Astyanax mexicanus: one gene and its partner. The protein of the gene in region 1 purifies or fractionates together with the protein of each later gene. This does not show direct contact. Links are inferred from orthologs where the notes say so. Each region holds a gene or a part of one and is shown on either strand. Other genes may lie near its edges. The genes, in order: ccny and cdk14.

The links.
Region 2: the proteins of ccny (region 1) and cdk14 purify together in Homo sapiens (affinity purification with western blotting; 3 studies listed by BioGRID and IntAct, with this or other methods). This does not show direct contact. The link is inferred for Astyanax mexicanus from reciprocal best matches to the Homo sapiens genes CCNY and CDK14.

Annotation. Positions count from the first base shown.
Region 1 is NC_064413.1:47,903,565-47,915,624, forward strand, and holds the start of ccny (cyclin-Y), read right to left. Parts: upstream 5,261-12,060; 5' UTR 4,701-5,260; coding exon 4,547-4,700; intron 1-4,546. UniProt on the Homo sapiens protein: Positive regulatory subunit of the cyclin-dependent kinases CDK14/PFTK1 and CDK16.
Region 2 is NC_064408.1:131,371,059-131,382,522, forward strand, and holds the start of cdk14 (cyclin-dependent kinase 14), read right to left. Parts: upstream 4,386-11,464; 5' UTR 4,271-4,385; coding exon 4,174-4,270; intron 2,427-4,173; coding exon 2,395-2,426; intron 1-2,394. Other genes in the region: pituitary tumor-transforming gene 1 protein-interacting protein, read right to left, coding at 7,341-7,390, 10,258-10,304. UniProt on the Homo sapiens protein: Serine/threonine-protein kinase involved in the control of the eukaryotic cell cycle, whose activity is controlled by an associated cyclin.

The DNA of each region.
Region 1 (12,060 bases):
TAAACACAGTAAGCCTTTCTTAAGGTGTGCAGGCTTAATTATGGTCACTGGGGTGTAAAAACTATGTACTGCTAATACAATCCACCTAAAACACATAAAAGGTATGCAAATAAAGAAAGCAATGCTGAACGCTGTCAATGAATAACCGCAGCTCAAATGAACTGCGTATCACAGCTGTGAAATTAATTCAGTACAGTTCTCAGTGTCTAATATTGTCAGATTTCAGCAGAACACCAACAGTAACTGTTCCTGTCCTCACCCCACAGGCTTTTAGATATGTTATGAGGCTCTTCAAATGTTCTCTCATGATTTGTAAGCTCTTGTGCTAAAAAGCAGCTTAAACTACTTAGGTCACGGCCTCCCAAACTGATCATATTCCTGCCACTGACGTCAAGGCTACCTAGACTAGAGTAACAGCACCATAAATCATCCACAATCAATATTCTAGATTATATAAATTGGTATTATGGCACTAAGAACTACACCAGCCACGAATATTACATTATTGACTTATTGTACAATACATGGACATGACCTTGATCATTTTGCCAACCTCAATATTGCCCATGTGTTTACTTGTGTGTTTGCTTATATAAGAATTAAATATATATATGGCTATATTTTAGCCAGTCACGCTGTTCTGCTAAGCAGCAACATCTATTGTGTATGAAAAGAGTGCAATAAATGCAGTGACCAAGGCATCAATAATGACGCTTTCCATTCACACAGAGCAGACTCGGGACAGGTAAAAACTAAGAACAACATGCATTTTTGAACATAACAGTACTTAAAAAATGTATGACAAATTTGGACAGGTAGTGTAAATGGTCAAAAACCATTTCCCAAACTAGTTTTATCTAAATTCATTAACCGCTCTTTAAAAGGCTATAACTGCATTGTTGTGACATTAGGGCTACAATTATTATTCAACATAATCAACAATGTCAGGAGACATGGAGACAGAAACACAACAGGGAAGGGGTATGGATTACTTACTTTATTAACACACATTTGATTAGGCTATTAAGCTTACACTTATATTCAACTTTCATCTGTTTCTATTTAATTAGATATGGTAACTTATGTTATGACAGAGACTGGACAACACGGTAGTGGTCTCAGGTGTGCAGACCTGAGCAGGTAAGGTAAAATGTGCATTAAAACAGGAGCCATGCTCACAGGAAGGGAAAAATTGTCAGTTTAGTCTGCTACCAAAATAATCATTAGCTGAAGCACTAAATGACATATCAATTGCAGAAAATAGTCATATAGTCAAGTTAATAGTACAATACAACCACCAACCCAGAATTTCTCCCTGTTGCAGATGTGCTTTAAAGGGCACTTAGGCTGAGCTAATATCATCTCAAACCACTTATCATCTACTTGATCAAGGGTTGTAACACCATGTACCACCGAACTCTGCCAACATGCCATATAAACTACTTATACTACATATAAACTGCTGCATCGATCACAGTTAATCTTGGGTCACAACCTCACACCCACCCACGCTTGATATTACCTCTTGTTGATGAAGCATGAAGCTTGCTGATTGTTTGGGACATGATAACTTAACCCTGCAAAGGCCACCTAGCATTGATTTAATCCATATGTACGTGTCATCTAGATTATTTAGTGCATTATATCTACCTGGTGTCTGTGTATATTATTTAATGTGCCTTGTAGGCTACTTCAACTCAACAAACCACTCATCATCCTTGATATTTCCCTGTTGCTACTTAAGCTGGGATCACCTCATACCACCCCTCTCTCCTGATGTAACACAGTCTGGGGTCACAACCCTACAACCCTTGTTATTTTCCTGTTGCTATTTCTAATGTCATGTCCTTGCTATATAGGGCATTCAAACTTTGCTCATCATGTCATAAGGCTAATTTAACTAAATTAATCTAAAGTCACAACCCTACAACCACCTACCCCTGATATAGGCCCTTTTGTTAATGTACTGTATTGTTGATAGCTCAAGGCTTAATAGCTAAACGATCACTTTAAATACACAGTACATATTAGAGTTTCGTAAAACTGAAAAAGAAAAATGACATTGCAATATATATGCTATTTAAAAATACAGGAATTTCACTAGATTTTGGTAGGTGTCAGTGATCCAACATGTCATAATAATATTGAAGTCTGTGTAATAATGACTGTATTAAAACAAATGATATTCGGTTGATATAATTGTAAATCTGGTAGATATTGTGATTTCTCTCTTTTTGTATTAAGCAGCAAGAAAGTTTTAAAAATATATATAATTTACCATTACACAAAACATTGCATGTCCTGTGATCTGACTAGTGCAATATATTGTATATATTGTGCAGCTCTAATACTTATGCTACACAGTATACGATAATAGTACCATAAGCCACACAACTCTTGACATGCCTTGTAAACAGAACAGTCAAGGATAACAAACTTAAATTCACCTACTTATCTTACCCTAATTACCATCAACAAATACATCACAACAAATTTATATACGTACAGTACAGAAACTGCAGTCATGGCACCACAAACCACCCCACTGCTGATATGCCATTTATGCGACACATTTTGGGGTCTTTTTCTGTTTCTTATGTGCCAGCTTAGCTGCTTGGGCCATGATAACTAGCGTACATACATATATTTATATAAAAATAATGGATTTTTCCCTTGAAAGGGCACCACAAACCATCCATCACTGCTAACATGCTTTCTACACTGCATGCAACAAAGTCTGGCATCACAACCCCAAGGCCACCCAACCAACCTTGATATTATTCCTGTTTATATTCTACTCAATATACAGAATACATTTCTAATAAAAATCCCATTGCTACTCAGGATTTTTGCACTAGGGTGTGGAACTCTGAACTATCCATCACTGATAATATCCTTTCTAAACTACATACAGCAAAGGCTGTGGTCACAAAAAGGCCCTCCAGCCTGGATAGTGTGCATGACATGATTATACAGCATCCAATTTTTGGCAGGACATGTTATCTACCATGCATTGGTACTTATATTTTTTCCCAGTCTCTAATGTGTCATCAATTCTACTTCCAACATCACAAACCATACAGACTGCTTATTGATTTACCCATTGCCCATTGATTGCTTCAGGCATGACAGCTATATTATAACTGTACTGCTGCACACACATCACATACAGTATATGGCTAAGCTACTGAACCTTTTATATGTATGTAATTATAAAATAAAAAATAAAATGCTATCTATTGCTATGTAGGCTACATCAAACTAAACATTGCTTATTGGTTTACCAATTACTCATTGACTGCCTACGGCATGACAGCTATATATACACACTATAACTACACTGTGCACAAAACTACGTAGTATTTAGCTAAGCTACTCAGGCTGGGAGCACAACACCACAAAGCCTGGTATGTTCCTTGTTGTTAATGTGTCAACTAGGCTGCTTGGGGCATGATAAGTGGCCAATAAATATTTATATAAAACAAAACAGTTCCTGGTCAGAAAAGGTCACACACTCTAATATTTGGTTGGACTGCCTTTAGCTTTAATTACGCCACCCAAAGACTGTGGCATCATTTCCAGAAGCTTATGTAATGTCAAAGTTTGTTTTAGTACATAGGCAGACACAGTACCAGTCAAAGTTTGGATACCACTAAATTTTGGTGGTTTAACATTATTTTTTTTTCCTACATTGTTGATTAATACTAAAGTCATCAAAGTTATAGAGAAAACCAAATTACATTAAAGAATCCAAAATAGGTTTTATATTTTAGATTCTTAAAAGTAGGCATGTCTTGTTGAATGACAGCTTTGGCCATATTGGCTGTATTTTCTCAGTCAGCTTTATGAGGTAGAGTCAACTTGGAATATGCCCTACTTCAGATTCTAAACCAGTTTCTCTGATTGTTCTATTTATAGGTATATGTGTAAATACATTTAACATTGTTGTTTTATTCCATAAACTACTAACAGCATTTTCCCCAAATTCCAAATAAAATATTGTAATTTAGAGCATTTATTTGCAGAAAATGAGAAATGCCTGAAATAACAACAAAGATGCAGAGCTTTCAGACCCCAAATAATGCAAAGAAAACAAGTTTATATTCCTAAAATTCCAATATTTGGTGGATTAACCCTGTTTTTTTTTTCACAGTTTTCACAGTGTTCTCCTCCACCAGTCTTACACACTGCTTTTGGATAACTTTTATTCCACTCCTGGTGCAAGAATTTAAGCAGTTCGGCTTGTGATCCATCTTCCTCTTTATTATATATTACAGAGGTTTTCAATTTGTTAAAAGTCAAAGAAACTCATCATTTTAACTGGTCTCTTATTTATTTTTATTTTTTTATTGCTGTACTGTTACTGAAGGGTTAGTCAGGCAGTGTAGGTTAAATACAATAGAATTTAGGATCACATCATTCATACCCATATCAATGTTAAGTAAGTTAGCTAGGTTAGCTATTTAATCACCCTGCATCCAGCACAGTTTTGGTAACTGTAGTGTAAGTAACTAATAAGCGAGGGCTCAGCCCACACAGGTCCTACCGTCGATGTTCTCCCGGTCGCTGATGTGCTGGAGGTTGCAGCCCGTGTCCTCGCGGCTGAGCTCGGGCTCCGGGCGGTAGGGCTCCAGCCTGGAGTGGGCATTTCTCCGGAGCTTCGGGCTGGAGGACACGCAGCAGGAGGTCGTGTTGCCCATGGTGTATTTGTGGGCACCTCACCACCTTGCTAACTGTATCTCTGGTGTGGCTGTAGCTGTAGCCACCCACCCGAGCGAGGAACGGATGAACGGAGATACAGAGGGAGGAACAGGCGGAGAAACACTATTACCAGCTAGGCTACCTACCTAACGTTACCCACCCCGGACCCCCTTCCTCCACACCCTCAGCAGCTACTTTCCCAAGGCTCAGTTCCGCGGAGCGCAGTGTTTATAACCATATTAGCGCTAAACCAGCTAAACAAAACAGATAAATAAATACAGGCTAAAACAGCCTCCACCCGCCCGCCGTCCGGAGCCGCACAGCCCGCAAACACAGCCAGCCTCGCCCGCCTCAACCCTCCCACAGCCGGCCTCCGCCAACACAGCGCTACACACGCACTATACACCGCGTTAATCACTATATGACCACATTTACGAACCTCACAGCGACATGGCAGCCTAGCTAACCAAACCTAAACCTAACCCAGCGCTACTGTCGCTACCGCCGCTACCGCTGCAGCTGCTGTCAACTACATAGCCGAGCCTCAATCCCTGCAACATACTAACTAACGCGGAAGAAAGGTTCCGCTACGAGAGGGCGGGGGACCGGTTTCAGAGGGGCTCCACAGGGCTAAGCAGGGCTAAACAGGGGTTTCCTGCTTTATAATTATTATTTTTTAGCGTTTATAATTGTATTAATTTGTTGGACATTTATTCAATTAAATGCAATAAAGATGTTTAAGAAAAAGCAGGACAACTAATCCATTATGTTAAGATTACTTTTAGCTTTTAGAAAAGAGCTCAACCTCATTTAAAATGTCTTATACACTAGGCTAAAGAGCAGCAAAGTGTTGATCATACACAGGCTAACCATATAGCTAGCTACCTAATTTATTTAATTAAAAAAATAAACACAATTAAATAAAACAACAGCATGAAGAGATTATCAAAATAAATGAAATACATTTTATAAATAAAATAAAAAAGGTAGTAAACAAATGTTTTTTTTTTATATTATTTTAAAACATACAGTACCAGTCAAAAGTTCTCATTAATATTTGTTATTTATCTATATTATTTACTACATTGTAGATTCGTTTTAAAGACTATGAAGGAAAGTATGAAGGACATATATGCAGTAACACTTTTACTGCTCTTCATTTACACTTATCCATGCTGCTATAGCATGCATAATAACACTCTGGATTTTATGTTGCTGCTACTTCTCTACTCTTCTTTTATATATTGTGTATTTAACTTGATATCTGTTTTATTGTTATTTGATTTTATTCTATTTGATTTTATCTTATATTTCTCATATTTTAACAATAACTTTTTTTAGGTGTAACTGGACCGTGAGAATACAATTTTGTTCCACTTCATGTACCCCATGTGAAGTGAATGACAATATAGTCTCCTTGAAAAGTTAGATAGCAGACAAAAAAGCGTATTACACAGGCCACAGTATGTAGCTATTTAATTTATTGAAAAATAATAATAATAAAAAAGCTAGATTACAGTTCCTGCAGAAACTGAGTGTGATTGCTGTGCCAGAACACAAATGAATAGGTAGGTCAGGGGAACAGATTGCAAAACAAATTTAGTGGAAATGCATGAATGCATTTTTAGCAACAACTGACATTCATGCATTTCCATGGAATCTATTTTGCAATCTGTTCCCCTATCCTACATATTTGTTTGTGCTTGTCAGTTGGGAGCATCTGGATTTCGGAATGCAGGGGGTGAACGAAGATGGGCTGTTTGATAAAAGTTTGTACTCTTTATAATTTTTCAATACCCCATGTCAATTTCACACCAGATTTCTCCTTTAAAATGTAGCTCAACATGTTTTACAATACAGAGTAAACAAATATACATAATAAACATGTCAAAAAATAAAACAATAGCAAGAAAATGGTATTTTAAATAAATAAAAGAAATATAAAATGAAAAAGTAATAAACAGATGTGTTTTAATATTATTTTACAACATACAGCAACAGTCACCAATTTGGACACATTCTCATTAATACTTTTCCTTTATTTGTTTTGTTTAATACATTGTAGATTAATATTAAAGATAAATAATAATATAATATTATATTATTGAGGACTATGAAGTTAAGGGAGTTAAGTAGTGAACTCAGTGCTTAGCACCTCTAGAACTCCTTTAAGACAGCTGAAGAATCATTCCAGGGCCTACCTCATGAAGACGACTGAGAGAATTAGCCAAGAGTGGGCAAAGCTGGCATCAAAGTAAAAGGTGCTACTTTAAAGAAGTATAGATCTTATTTTGGCTTGTTTAACACTTTTTTATTTACTTCATGTGTTCCTTCATAGTTTTGACTTCTTTACTTTTAATCTACAATGCAGAAGAAGACAAAGACAAAAGAAAAAAAAAACATTTACTAGTATTGTCTCTCCAAATATGTATCAACATACAAGACACATATACATGTTCCTAAAAATATTATTCTCATTTTTGTTGTAAGGTGTTACAGTTCATTACAATATTGTAAATCTTGTTTTATATTTAAATTACTGTATGTCATTTAGAGTGGGAATCTCACAGGGCATTGTGTGTGTGTGTGTGTCACTGTATGTTGATTTTCAAATGTTTACATAATTTGAAACTGAAAACTATCCTATACATTGTATCCTAATTGCATGATGAATGGACAAATAGAAATGCACAAAAATGGCTTTGACAAAGAACGTCTTCCACTATAAGAGGACTATGCTATCATGGCATGTCATGATGTATGATGAAGCATGATGGTGATAAATATCCTATCTACAAGTCCTACTTTGACAGCAGTCCTAATGAGTATCATGTCTCCTTTCATACTGTAGGTAGCAATGTAAGGAATTATGTCACTGTAATATCTACCCACAGCTGTAAAGCTGTACACCACCATCCCAGTGGCAGACTAGATCTAATGCTACACCAATAAGAGTACCTGGGCAAACCAAACTACCTCTGTAACATGAACCTTACATTTGAGTCACTATAGAAAAGAACATCAGCTAAATATCATTGGCTAACACTCCCCCTAGTGTTAGAATGTCTAAACATCATTCTTCACCAATAATCATCCTTAGGCAAGAGTCCTAATACATACAGACAAAAATCAAAGTGAAATGGTAGTCAGTAGTTTGTATGAGACAATGTGGGGGACCTCCTTCTAGATCACTGAGCTCCTGAACATTCTGAAGTGTAACCTGGCAGTGTCAGACTGACCGAAATATAACAGGATTCAAGTTTTAACCAATAATTTTCCATGATTTTTTCATGACTTTGTCCATGCCTTCAAGGCATTTTTTATGACCAGACAGTTTTTAAAACATCAGTGCAGACATGGACAATAAAACCAAAAATCAACTAAAACTATAATTAAAACTGATTATAATAGGTCTAAACCAAATCAGATAAAATGTTGACACACAATCCTTAACAATAAAATGTGTGTCAGATTCCTGCAAGCTCCATTGTGTGGAGCTAAATTACTGAATTAACTCTGAGCTGACATATTTGTTAGCTCAAGTTAGATTTTCTCCATTTATAAACTGAAACACAAAGATTTGTAGACCAAAACTCCATGACTTTTCCAAATCTTTTTAGGTATTTTTATTTTTACAAAACTTATTCAGGCCTGGGCACTGCTATTTTCAAAATCCATGACTTTTACAGGGTTTTCATGACCATACAAACCCTGTATAATGTCCTAGAGATCTACTGTTCTACTGAAACATATAAAAACGGTTAGTAAAAACGCTCTTAGAACATCTAGAAAACTTGACAAATTGAATGTTCTAAGACCGCTATTTATGTTTATGTTAGCTAGATAGTTTTTGCCTGGATGAGCAGCTTTTTAAACCATTTTGAAAAGGAAAGACCAGCTTAGATCTGAAACCAGATGCCTGAACTGGCCCAAGAAATTTACATAATCTTACATGAACACTTTATATTAAAAGCAAAAAATAAAATAAATATAATACAATATACTACAATACAATGTAAACATTGCATTTTCTAAATCACTTATGCTAGGAGATTTTTTTTTTTTATATATTGTTAAGGCAAGATTTCCCAAACTCTTCCCTAATGCTTTTCACATTTTTATGGTTTCTCTGCACTAGCTTGAACACCTCACTCAGCACACAGGGGGGCTGTTAATTAGTTGGTTCAGGTGTTGAAGACAAAGCAAAAAAAAAAAAGTGCATACTGGAAGTCCTGCACTGAGGGAATTAAGAGGGATTGTCTTTAACAGTAACATTTATATAGAGCTATTGTAGCTGAAATGGCTCTACACTCAGAGAGTATGACGCATTAAGTTCCCTGCAGCTGCTAATCGTCTCACAGTCTCATGCTGTGCAGAATAGCCAGGGGGTTCCTGATGATACAGCTGGCTGGAGGGATGCAGTGTGTTGTCTAATGAGCATCTGCATTATCATGAGGCATTATTAGCCCTTTAGTCCAAACGCTCGGAGGGTTCTCAGAGCTGCATGCCAGGTAATGTGAAAAGATGCTGCAGCAGTGTTCATGCACATAATTAGGAACAATTAGGAAGGTGTTTTTTCCCATTTTCTCCCAATTTAGCTAGACCAATTTTCCCATCCATTCAGCTTCTACTCAACTATATATCACTGGTGATGGCACAGCACAAGGAGGGTGAAGACTAGCCTCCTCCGACACATGTGAAGTCACCCACTACCTCTTTTTGAACTGCTGCTGATGTAGCATTTCCGAGTAGCATCAGAGCGCTAACGCTCGGAGCAAAGAGCAGCGACTCGGTTCTAATACATCAGCTCACAGGCGCCTTGTGCTGATCAACATCCCCCTAGGAGTGATGAGGGGAAAGAACGCCATCTACCCACCCAGAGAGAGCAAGGCCAACTGTGCTCTCTCGGGGCTCTGGCAGCTGATGGCAAGCTGCATGACTGGGATTCAAAGCAGCGATCTCCCAATCATGGTGGATCATTATTATTATTAAAGGTTGACAGAACAAACCCCTGTTAACCATTAATACTGACTTTTATATACGTGAAAGTCGCATGAATTGCACAGCAGACAAAGCTGTTTTAAAGAAATTAAATTAATACAATTTAATGGTAAAAATATGTATTATATGTCATACTTACAATAAGTAGCTAATCAATCTGGCTTATCAAACATAGTGAGCATATAAGCATTTTTTTAAAGATCTAGCATAATTTGCAGTCTAAATTAGGTTCAGTATGCATGTTAGGAACATCATGCGTATTAATTACTCAGAAATCTGTCACAGTTATTAAAGTTGATTTATCAGTATTGAAAACATCTAAAAATTTTAAACATCACTCAGCTCGATCCAACTAAGCAGGCACGGGGACAAATAGTGAGGTTAACTCTTTAAAAATATAAGAAAGATTCTTTGAAAGCAGCAAAGACTGAAAAAGAGAAAGTTTCAAAAAGCATGAATTGGAAACACTGAAAAGAACCCGTCCTCATCCTCTCCTGCCCAAAACTACATTACTAGAATAAAAGCAATCATGCATTCTGAATAAAGATACTGTGGAGACCACTACTGACCACTTAACTGCTTCTATTGTGCATTGTTTGTTCTTGTTGATGGTTCAAAGTTGTCTTTGTATATGTGCATATTGTCCTCTTTAGGGTTTAATGGCAGTGTGCTTATAGAAGTGTTCTTTAATCTAAGGGTTCTTCTGGAGGCCCACTGGCCATTATGGTATGGTAAGTATTTTCCCTACTCCCAGCAAGGGCAGGACAATCAATATTAATGTACTATATCACAATAGAAACAAGTTTAAAATGATGATTTTTTTTTTAAATGATTTTTTAATATTTTGATATACATCAATTACAGCATCTGTCACTGATTTCAGAGGATTTATGGTAGAGAAATCCTTTCAATAAAATATTGTCGCTTTCAACCATTTACATTGATATTAGACATTGATATGATACTGATATGATGATATATGTTTTGTACATTGCAGGTAGTGGTTCCTCCTACAATAGCATTCAAAAGTGTGGACACACCTGTGTTTCTTTCTTTTTTATGATTTGTTACATTGTAAATTTAATATTGTAACTATCAATACAGGAACACATGCAAAATTATTCTGTAAACAAACCAGAATATGTTTTACACTTTAGATTCTTCTAAGTAGCATATTTATCTCTGAGGACAGATCTGCACACTCTTAGTATTTTAATCTCAGTGTCTTCATGAGGAAGAGTCACCTGGAATAGTTTTCTCAGTGTCTTGAAGGAAGGCGTTCCTAGAGGTGATGTCAATAGTTGCTCAGTTTATCAGGTTTTAATGTCTTTAATATTATTCTGCAATGTGGACAATAAATTAATTGAATAAAGAAAGAAAAACATTGAATAAAAAGGTGTATCCAAATTTTTGACTGGTACTGTATATAATCCATTTTTCATACTATACAGAAACATTTTTGTTATCAGTATAGATCAGATCATCTTAACGCAAGTCTAAGTGGAAGAAATACTTTTTTTACAAGTATGAGAACCTGGGCAGTGGTCACAAATTTCTAATCCTACAGATTTTTAATAATCTTTCTCTCTTATTCTTCTTAATTTTTTTATTTATAACTTCTTAAGATTTCTGTTGCTCATTTCAATCTTTAACTGAATAAAGAAACAAAAACAGATTTTTAGTGACTGGGATAGATCCTTCTAGCCCAGTTATTCCTAGACATTCCTCTGCAGTCTAGATACGGTCTTCAACTCCTGACATCCCTCTCTCAGCTAAAATACCCTATCATGCTCCTTCAACAAGTGATTAAAAACTGTCACAAATGATTGACAGCTGGGTTTACCCTACTGCTTAACCCTGGAACTGAAATCCCAGCCAGTCAGTGAAGAGACAGCCTGTATTTATATAATCTGAGATAATCTGAGATTAGAGATTTCTGCATGTAAACAAAGCTTGAGCTTTTATTTCAGATTACGTACCAAGTGGTGATCCCATCACTCTAGCCAGAGTGCTACACATCTACTGCCAGTGCAGCACTGCACTCTAGTGGTGAAAAAGAAATGCTGCATTCTGGTGACAAAAAAAAAAAAAAAAAAAAATGATGACAGTACCTGTGCCAGGTCTGAATCATCTTCAGCAGTAGTTATTTTCGCCTCATTGAGCTCAGAAGCTTTAACAGCAAGAGCATAAAACGTTATTGTTCTCAGTTATTCACTGCTTCTCCAAGGCTTTAATACCAAATGGAGCAGTTGACATCCAACTGCTTCCTTTTCAAGGTAAAGTTTCCTATTTATACTTCATAATTTACCTGTGACAGGCAGAGGAGCAAAGATAAAGGACTTCATTGTCAGATGCTTG
Region 2 (11,464 bases), on another chromosome or scaffold:
ATCTCAATATATACAATCTCAATATATACAATCTCAATATATATACAATCTCAATATATATACAATCTCAATATATACAATCTCAATATATACACAATCTCAATATATACACACAATCTCAATACATACAATCTCAATATATACACACAATCTCAATATATACACACAATCTCAATATATACAATTTCTATATATACAATTTCTATATATACAATCTCAATATATATACAATCTCAATATATATACACAATCTCAATATATATACAATCTCAATATATATACACAATCTCAATATATACAATCTCAATATATATACACAATCTCAATATATACAATCTCAATATATACACAATCTCAATATATATACACAATCTCAATATATATACAATCTCAATATATATACAATCTCAATATATACACACAATCTCAATATATACAATCTCAATATATATACACAATCTCAATATATATACAATCTCAATATATACAATCTCAATATATATACACAATCTCAATATATATACAATCTCAATATACATACACAATCTCAATATATATACAATCTCAATATATATACACAATCTCAATATATATACAATCTCAACATATACAATCTCAATATATATACAATCTCAATATATATACAATCTCAATATATATACAATCTCAATATATACAATCTCAATATATATACAATCTCAATATATAAACACAATCTCAATATATACAGTCTCAATATATAAACACAATCTCAATATATATACACAATCTCAATATATATACAATCTCAATATATATACACAATCTCAATATATATACACAATCTCAATATATATACAATCTCAATATATATACAATCTCAATATATATACAATCTCAATATATACAATCTCAATATATATACAATCTCAATATATACAATCTCAATATATATACAATCTCAATATATATACAATCTCAATATACACACACAATCTCAATATATACAATCTCTATATATACAATCTCAATATATGCACACAATCTCAATATATACAATCTCAATATATATACAATATAAATAAAATCCATTAACGATTCTGATGTGCCTGCTGGTACTAGTGAACCTGGAGATTCAATTTCACTAACTGCATTCAGCTCTACAGCAGCTCTACATCAGCTCTACTCTAGCTTTACAGTAGATATTCTGTAGCTCTACAGCAGCTGTACTCCACACCTACAGCGCCTGTCAGCTTAATTACAGCTCTCCTGTATCTCTATAGCAGATCTTCTGTAGCCCTACATCAGCTCTACGACCGCTCTACTTCAGCTCTACTGTAACTTTACATCAGCTCTACATCAGCTTTACTACAGCTCTACTGTAGCAGTTCTCCAGCTCTATAGCAGCTCTACTGTAGTGTTACTCCAGATTTATATCAGCTCTACATCAGCTCTATTGTAGCTCTACATCAGCTTTAATATAGCTCTACTCCAGATCTACATCAGTTCTACTGTAGCTCTACAGCAGCTCTGTTTCAGCTCAACTGTACTGTTACTCCAGATTTATATCAGCTCCACATCAGCTCTATTGTAGCTCTACATCAGCTTTAATATAGCTCTACTCCAGATCTTCATCAGTTCTACTGTAGCTCTACAGCAGCTCTGTTTCAGCTCTACTGTAGCTCTACTCCAGCTCTATGCTAGTTCTTCCTCTGCTGTAGCTCTACAGCAGCTGTGCTCCAGCTTTCCAGCAGCTCAATGGCAGACCTACTGTGACTCTACAGCATTTCTTTGGCAGCTTTAAAGCAGCTCTACTCCATCTCTACAGTAGCTCTACATCAGCTTTAAAGCAGCTCTACATCAGACTTAAAGCAGCGCTACATCAGCTTTAAATCAGCTCTACATTAGCTCTACATCAACTCTATGACAGCTCTACATCAGCTCTTTTAAGGCTCTTCAGATGTTCAGCAGCTCTACAGTGGCCTCGCTACAGCTCGCTACAGCAGTTCTACATTACTGCTATGGCAGCTCTACTGTAGTTCTACACCAGCTCTATTGCAGCTCTAATGAAGCACCGAAACTACTTCACTGCAGCTTTAAAGCAGCTCTTCAACTGCTCCGCAGTAACTCTACAGCAGCTCTCATGCTGTACACATCAGTATTAGGCTAAAACATTTACCAGATTATTATCCAACATCTGACCTCAGTAATGCTCTGGCTCTTGGTCAGAGGGGTTATTTGCATATTGCAGCCTTGTGTGTTATGTATGTCACAAGATCAATAACAGTAACGATTAAAGGGACGAGTACACCGCTCGCACTGTGCAGAGGACCGTCAGTCACTCCACCCGCCACCTCACCCGCCACCTCCACCCTCAGCCCACGCTCCCTCAAACCAGCCAGCGTTTCCACTTACCTCATCAAAACCACCGTCCTCCTTCTTCAGAGCTACAGAGGAAAAAGAGAAGAGAGATCATCAGTTCCTCATTACAGAACATCAGTTCCTCCTTCAAAACTCTGACCCATCACAACACTGACCCATCAGAACACTGACCCAACAGAACACTGACCCAACAGAACACTGACCCATCAGAACACTGACCCAACAGAACACTGACCCAACAGAACACTGACCCATCAAAACACTGACCCACCAAAACACTGACCCATCAGAACACTGACCCATCAGAACACTGACCCAACAGAACACTGACCCATCAGAACACTGACCCATCAAAACACTGACCCAACAGAACACTGACCCATTAAAACACTGACCCATCAGAACACTGACCCATCAGAACACTGACCCATCAGAACACTGACCCAACAGAACACTGACCCATTAAAACACTGACACATCAAAACACTGACCCACCAAAACACTGACCCAGAAGAAAACTGACCCATTAAAACACTGACCCAACAGAACACTGACCCATCAGAACACTGACCCATCAGAACACTGACCCATCAGAACACTAACCCAACACAACACTGACCCAACAGAAAATTGACCCAACAGAAAACTGACCCATCAGAAAACTGACCCATCAGAACACTGACCCTTCAGAACACTGACCCAACAGAACATTGACACACAGAACACTGACCCAACAAAACACTGACCCATTAAAACACTGACCCAACAAAACACTGACCCAACAGAACACTGACCCACCAAAACACTGACCCATCAGAACACTGACCCATCAGAACACTGACCCATCAGAACATCTGATCCACTCACTGTACCAGCTCAACACTCACTAACACCTCATACGCCACCACCATGCTAATCACTGCTGTATCTGATCCACTCACTGTACCACCAGCTCAACACACACTAACACCTCATACACCACCACCATGCTAATCACTGCTGTATCTGATCCACTCACTGTACCACCAGCTCAACACACACTAACACCTCATACACCACCACCATGCTAATCACTGCTGTATCTGATCCACTCACTGTACCACCAGCTCAACACACACTAACACCTCATACACCACCACCATGCTAATAACTGCTGTATCTGATCCACTCACTGTACCACCAGCTCAACACACACTAACACCTCATACACCACCACCATGCTAATCAGTGCTAATCACTGCTGTATCTGATCCACTCACTGTACCAGGTCAACACTCACTAACACCTCATACACCACCACCATGCTAATCAGTGCTAATCACTGCTGTATCTGATCCACTCACTGTACCACCAGCTCAACACTCACTAACACATCATACACCACCACCATGCTAATCACTGCTAATCACTGCAGTGCTGAGAATAACCACACACCACCCAAATAATGTGTATAGTGTATAGTGTTTATATAGTGTGTAGTGTATATAGTGTGTGTGTGTTTATAGTGTGCAGTGTGTGTATAGTGTGTGTGTGCATTGTGTATAGTGTGTGTGTAGTGTATCATGTGTGTGTGTATAGTGTGTGTGTGTGTGTAGTGTGTGTGTGTAGTGTGTAGTGTATAGTGTGAGTGTGTATTGTGTATAGTGTTTATATAGTGTGTAGTGTATGTAGTGTGTGTGTGTGTGTGTGTATAGTGTGTAATGTATAGTGTGTAGTGCTTGTATAGTGTGTGTGAGTATAGTGTGTAGTGTATAGTGTGTAGTGTGTGTGTATAGCGTGTGTGTGTATTGTGTATAGTGTGTGTGTACTCACCGATGCGGCTGAAGCTGTCTGATAAAGTTCTCCGGAGCTTCTTCATCCTGCCGAGTTTCTCCGCGCGCTCACCGGAACCGGCGATGAAGTCACACATATCTCACGCTCATCCAGCGCGCGTGTGCGCGTGTGTTGTTTTAAAAACTGCTCGAGCTCCTCCGCGCGCGCGTGCGTGTGTCAAATCCAGATCCAGATGATGTGACCACCGCTGGACTCATCACTGCCCTCCCCCCCCCCACTACACACACACACTAATACACACACAGTAATACACACACACTAACCCCAACACACACACACACACAACACACACTGATGCACCAACACACACTGATACACACACACTCAGACAGACACTGAGAGAGAGATAAAGACTAAACCTCTCTCTCTCTATGTCTCTCTGCTGCGCTCTGATTGGCTACACAGGAGCACAGGAAACGTATTGTGGATAAGCTCCGCCCACACACTCTCAGCAGACACAAGAGAGAGTGAAAGAGAGAGGATGAGAGACTAAGTGTGTGTAGTGCATGTAGTTTGTCTGCAGTGTGTAGTGCACATGTAGTGTGTAGGTTGTGTAGTGCGTGCACAGTGTGTGTAGTGAATGTGCATTGTGCAGTGTATGTGCAGTATGTGCAGTGTGTGCAGGGTGTGTAGCGAGTGTGTGTGTAGTGTGTGTGTAGTGTGCGTGCACAGTGTGTGTAGTGAGTGTGTAGTGTGTGTGTGTGTGTGTGTGTAGTGTGTGTACTGTGTGCAGTGTGTGTGTAGTGTGTGTGTAGTGTGTGTGTAGTGTGTAGTGTGTGTGTAGTGTGTGTGTGGTGTGTAGTGTGTGTGTGTAGTGTGTGTGTGTGTGTGTGTGTACTGTGTGTGTAGTGTGTGTAGTGTGTAGGGTGTGTCAGTGCAGAGGGTGCAGCTGTTGCTGAATGTTTCCAGTTTTGCAGATGTTTAAACCGCAGCAGCTGAAATGAGCTGTAGTGAAAAACGGTACACCCGAATATTCACACACACACTCTAGTGAACGCTGACCTGCACACACACACACACACACACACACACACTACACACACACTACACACACACACACTACAAACACACACTACACACACCCACATTACACACACACTACACACCCTGCACACTCACTACACACACACACAAACACTACAAACACACACTACACACACACTACACACACACACACTACAAACACATACTACACACACCCACATTACACACTCACTACACACACTACACACAGACACACACAGCGGGTCTGGCCCCTGCCAATAGATTAGGACTCTCTGGATCAGATAATGAATAAACACGAGTCTGATGGATATATATTATTATGGGATGGTTTTAAATTATTATGGGATGGAGCTATATTATTATAGGATGTTTTTTATGGGATGGAGCTATATTATTATGGGATGGTTTTATGTAATAATAGGATGGTTTTAAATTATTATGGGATGGAGCTATATTATTATAGGATGTTTTTTTATTATGGGATGGTTTTATGTAATAATAGGATGGTTTTAAATTATTATGGGATGGAGCTATATTATTATCGGATGTTTTTTTATTATTGTTATTTTATTTTTATTATTGATGGTTTATATTATAGGATATATTTATTTTATGATAGGATGGATTTATATTATTATGGGATGGAGCTATATTATTATCGGATGTTTTTTTATTATGGGATGGTTTATATTATAGGATATATTTATTTTATGATAGGATGGATTTATATTATTATGGGATGGAGCTATATTATTATGGGATGGTTTTAAATTATTATGGGATGGAGCTATATTATTATCGGATGTTTTTTTTATTATGGGATGGTTTATATTATAGGATATATTTATTTTATGATAGGATGGATTTATATTATTATGGGATGGATTTTTTTATGGGATGGTTTTATGTCATGGGATAGATTTAAATTATTATGGGTTGGATTTATGTTATAAGATGGAGCTTGTTTTAGTATGAGATGGATTTATATTATGGGATGGGTTTATGTTATTATGGCATATATTTATCTTAATTATGGGATGGATTTATATAATGGAATGGTTTTATGTTATGGGATAGATTTATTTTAATTATGGGATGGATTTATATTATGGGATGGATTTATGTTATTATGGAATGGAGCTGGTTTTAGAATGGGATGGATTTATATTATTATGGGATGTGTTTATGTTATTATGGGATGGATTTATATTATTATGGTATAGATTTATATTATGGAATGGTTTTACGTTATTATGGGATGGAGCTGGTGTATGGTTTTATGTTATGATGGAATGGATTTATTGTATAATGGGAAGGAACTGGATTTAGTATGGGATGTGATTTTGTTATTATGGGATGGATTTATATTATTATGGTATAGATTTATATTATCGAATGGTTTTGTTATTATGGGATGGAGCTGAATTTGGTATGGGATAGTTTTATGTTATTATGGGATGGATTTATTGTATAATGGGATGGAGCTGGATTTAGTGTGGGATGGTTTTATGTTATTATGGGATGGATTTATTGTATAATGGGATGGAACTGGATTTAGTATGGGATGGTTTTATGTTATTATGGGATGGAGCTGGTGTTAGTATGGATAGCTGCTCCTGTGCTGGAGATGAAAGTGAAGGCCTGGAGGCGGAGCTGAATGCGGGTCAGGATGTGATTGGACTTCTACTCAGACTCAAACTCCAGTACTAATGTTCGGAGCAGGTCTGTGATGGGTGGAGCTCGGAGATGCTCCAGGGGAAGAAGGAGTCGAGATAACGAGGTAAAAGTAGAAGAACTTTATTAGGAATCGTTAAGAAGAGCACGGATACAGTGATTTAAAACAGCAGATCAAAAAAAAACGAATTACTAAATTTAACATTCAAAACCAACGACGTGTCAGAGAACCTTCAGAACCCAGAGCAGATAATAAACACTCCACTACCAGAGAATTTCCCATCATTCCGTTAATCAGGCTGGTGTATTGCGTCAGTGAGGATGGGGGGCGGAGTCAGGAGGAGCGCTGCGGCGAATCAGACAGATCTGTGATCAGATAGAGCTGAAGGAAGAGGAGGAGGAGGAGTTTGGATGCTCGTCTGCTGGAGAGGAGAACGTTCCTCAGCGTTCTCCCGCCGGTTCCCGGTTTACTCGTTCTCAAAACGACTGTACGGGTGATCAGAGTCCGGAATAAGACCTGGAACCAAAACACACCAGAGAAAAAACTGGATCAGGGGATGAGCAGAGGAAGAGCAAAGGAGGAGTTAAAGATGAGTTGAGGGAAAGCAGAGGAAGAGCTAAAGAGTAGTTGAGGAAGCGCTGAGGAAAAGCTAAGGATTAGTTGAAGACCTATGGAATAGTTAAAGATGAGTTGAGGGAAAGCAAAGGATGAGGTGAGGAGCAGAGGAAGAGCTAAGGATGAGTTGAGGGAAAGCAAAGGAGTAGTTGAGGAAGAGCTAAGCAGTATTTGAGGAAGAGTTAAGGAGTAGTAAAGGAAGAGCTAAAAAGTAAGTGAGGAAGAGCTGAGGGAAAGCCAAGGATTAGTTGAAGGGCTAAGGAAGTGTTAAAGATGAGTTTAGGAAAAGCAGAGGAAGAGCTAAAGATGAGTTTACAAAGAGAAGAGGACGAGCTAAGGATGAGTTGAGGAAAAGCAAAGGATATGTTAAAAAGCTAAGGAAGAGTTAAAGACGTGTTCAGGGAAAGAAAAGGAAGAGCTAAGGATGAGTTTACAAAGAGTAGAGGAAGAGCTAAGGATGAGTTGAGGGAAAGCTAAGGAGTAGTAAATGAAGAGCTAAAGAGTAGTAAATGAAGAGTTAAAGGGTAGTTGAGAAAGAGCTAAAAAGCAGAGGGAGAACTAAAGATGAGTTTACAAAGAGAAAAGGAAAAGCTAAGGATGAGTTGAGGAAAAGCAAAGGATATGTTAAAAAGCTAAAGAAGAGATAAAGGCGAGTTAAGGGAAAGCAAAGGAAGAGCTAAAGATGAGTCAAGAAAAGCTAAGGAAAAGCTAAGGAGGGAGAGCAGAGGGAGAGATAAGGATGAGTTTAGGAAGAGCTGTAGGATTCACACTATGTAAAGATGTCTGACCTTAGAAAAGGATTCAGTTTAACTGATCCGACTGATTGTATTGGTTTACTGTTCAGAATTAGTCTTAATAAACGATCTGTTTCAGCGACGTTTTACTAAAGTTCTGAACAAAATAAACCAAATAATCCTCTAAACAAACTCAAACACAACATTTTCTGCACAGAGAATACTAACGTAGAAAATGTAATATAATATTCACAAACAGTGACACCATATATAACGTAATACATGAAGGTTATTATCTCCTACATATGCTAAACTTAGCCAGGAATTATTGTGTATTATATTATTATAATAAAACAATTTCAACAATTTAACCTTAATCAGCAGTCAGAACCATGTTTTAGAATACACTGCCTACTTTCACTCCCACTGGGTTGTATTAGTTCAGCTCTGCTGCCCCCTGCTGGTGAGTGTGTGTAATTACACTGTTTAAAATAATCCACAGCATCTCAATCAGACTTTAACTAGACCCTCCAAAACCTTTGTTTACTTAATTAATCCATTCAGAGACAGTGAACTTGTTGTTTGTGTGCTTTGGGTCATTGTCCTGCTGCAGAACCCAAGTACTCTGGAGCTTGAGGGCAGTTCTTTAAGTGTTGTTCTGGGTTCTTTTGGGATCTCCTGGATGAGTTCTTCATGCCCTTTTTGAGTAATTTCGGTCGGCCGGTCACTCCTGGGAAGGTTCACCAGTGTTCCATGGTTTTTCTCCATTAGTGAATAATAGTGAATCACTGTGGTTCTCTGGAGTCTCAAAGCTTTAGAAATGATTTTATAATCTTTTCCAGACTGATACATGATCAATAACTTTGTTTTTTTTTCATCTTTTGTTGAGTTTCTTCAGATGGGGGTAATAATAATAATAATAATAATAATGTGAAATGTAAAATGATCTTTTATATGCTTCATGTTGTCAGACAGGTTCTATTATATAAGTGATTTATTGATTCTACAGGTCTGGAATCAGTGATCAGGTCTGGTTTTGGTTATTAGTGAAATTAAACTCAGGTTATATTTGTCAGATATTAAAGTTTGTTTGATAATCTGAAAAATGTAAGTATGATAAAAAGCCGGAGGTCAGGGTCTCTCTCTGAAGCTCATTAGCATTTCCTCCTGTCCCTCACAGGGGACAGTGAGGGTGTCTATTAATCACAGAGCTCAGTGCTCACAGTAATTAGCTCAGATGATTTATCATCCAGGACGCCCGGACGCCTGTCCTCTGACCTTTAACCCCGGGCAGTGAGGCATGGCGGTGGTGGGGGGGTGGGGTTATTAGTGATTATACGGTAGATGTTGGAGCTGCAGCAGATCAGCTAATATCACCGACTCTACACACACACACACACACACTTACTTGTTTAGTTTAGCTTTTGGTAATTAATGTTTTTTCCTTTAGATAAGGCTGCAGATCCAGGGGTTCATGGACAGAGGGAATTGTGGGTAAACTGAGATGCTGGTGCTGATGTTTGATCACTCAGGTTTGTGGAGGGTGGAGTGGTTGGATGCTGGTGTTTTCAGACGGTGCGTGCGGTAGGCAGTGCACACGGTAGGTGGTGCATGCGGTAGACGGTGTGTGGGGTAGACTATGATAGGTGGTGCATGAGGTAGATGGTGCGTGTGGTAGACTATGATAGGTGGTGCATGAGGTAGATGGTGCATGTGGTAGACTATGATAGGTGGTGCACGTGGTACACAGTGCGTGCGGTAGATGGTGCATGTGGTAGACTATGATAGGTGGTGTGTGCGGTAGAATGTGCGTGTGATAAGTGCATACCGAATACTGTTGTTTTCTGTTGTTTTTCTTGTCTGAAAACATGGTGCAGGGTGGGGCTTGCTGCAGAGTCATTATAGTTTGTAATTACAATTGAAGTCTTTACAGTTATTCACTAAAACACTAAAAGTGCTCTATTGACCATTTTCAATCTACGAGGATTACGGAATACGGAATACGCTGATGACATCATACAATTCGTTACTCACCATACTTTTTCCGGATCTCATCGTGTCTCGCCCTCCTCTCCGACTTCCTGCAGAACACACACACACACACACACACACACACAGTTACTGATCGCTAATCTATTACACGTGAAGATATGAATCTTTTAATACACTGACTGGAGTTCACATATACATTTATGTAAATTAAATATATAAATTACAGATATATAAAATAAATATACATGTAAATTAACAGTAACATGCAAGTATCAGAACAGCTGTTCATTCACTGTTTCTGAAATTAACTGTATTAAAAGAGTTTATCCTGATTTTGGCTCGTTTGCTTTCTATTGATGGGGTCTTGGGTTCAAGTCTCTATCTGGGTGGAGGCATGTTCTTCTCATACTCATAAGGTACAGTTTAATCTGACATATTAGCCGGATAATCTACGGCTATGAACAAACGTAGTCTCTGCTGCTCCACGCTGTTTACACACAGTTTACACACAGTTTACACAAGAGCGCAGTATGTGCTGAGTTCACGTCCCACTGAAAACACTGTGATTAAAAGCACAGCGCTAAATTATCAGTGTTCAGTATTAAATCAGCTTCACAGTCAAACATAGAATCTTCTCACTATATTTACTTCCTCACTGCCACACCAGACAGCTCTGACCAATCAGAGGAGACGATGTGCTCGCGTGGTTTATTGGTGCACATTTTGGTGCGTTTATGTTTTTAATCCCTGTGTGAAAACAAACCAAACAAAGGGACAAACTGAAGCTCCAAATAACTGATCTGAACCATAGAATTTTTCACAACTACAGGTGTGAAAATGCTTTTGTATACTAATTAGCTAATTAATAATTCAGAAATTCTTACAATCAAGCTGAGATGTTTATAAAAAAGTAAATAAAGTTCCTATATACAATTTATCATGCATTCTTCATCCCAGAGCCCCACACTTGCTTTATCCCCCCTCAAACATACAACTATATACTAGTTTTTAATTGACACCACTAATATAAATGTAATTACATTTTATATTTCTTACATTCATTCTTTTATTGATATTTGTAAAATATCATCTATAAAACTTAGAGTGTCTTAAGAAGAACAAGTGCGATTAATCGCAGTTAATCACAGAATATTGCTGTGATTAATCTGATTTTTTTTTTATTGATTAATAGTAAAAACGTGATTGTAAAGCGTTCTTCTGTTTCTATAAACACACTACAGATCCTGAT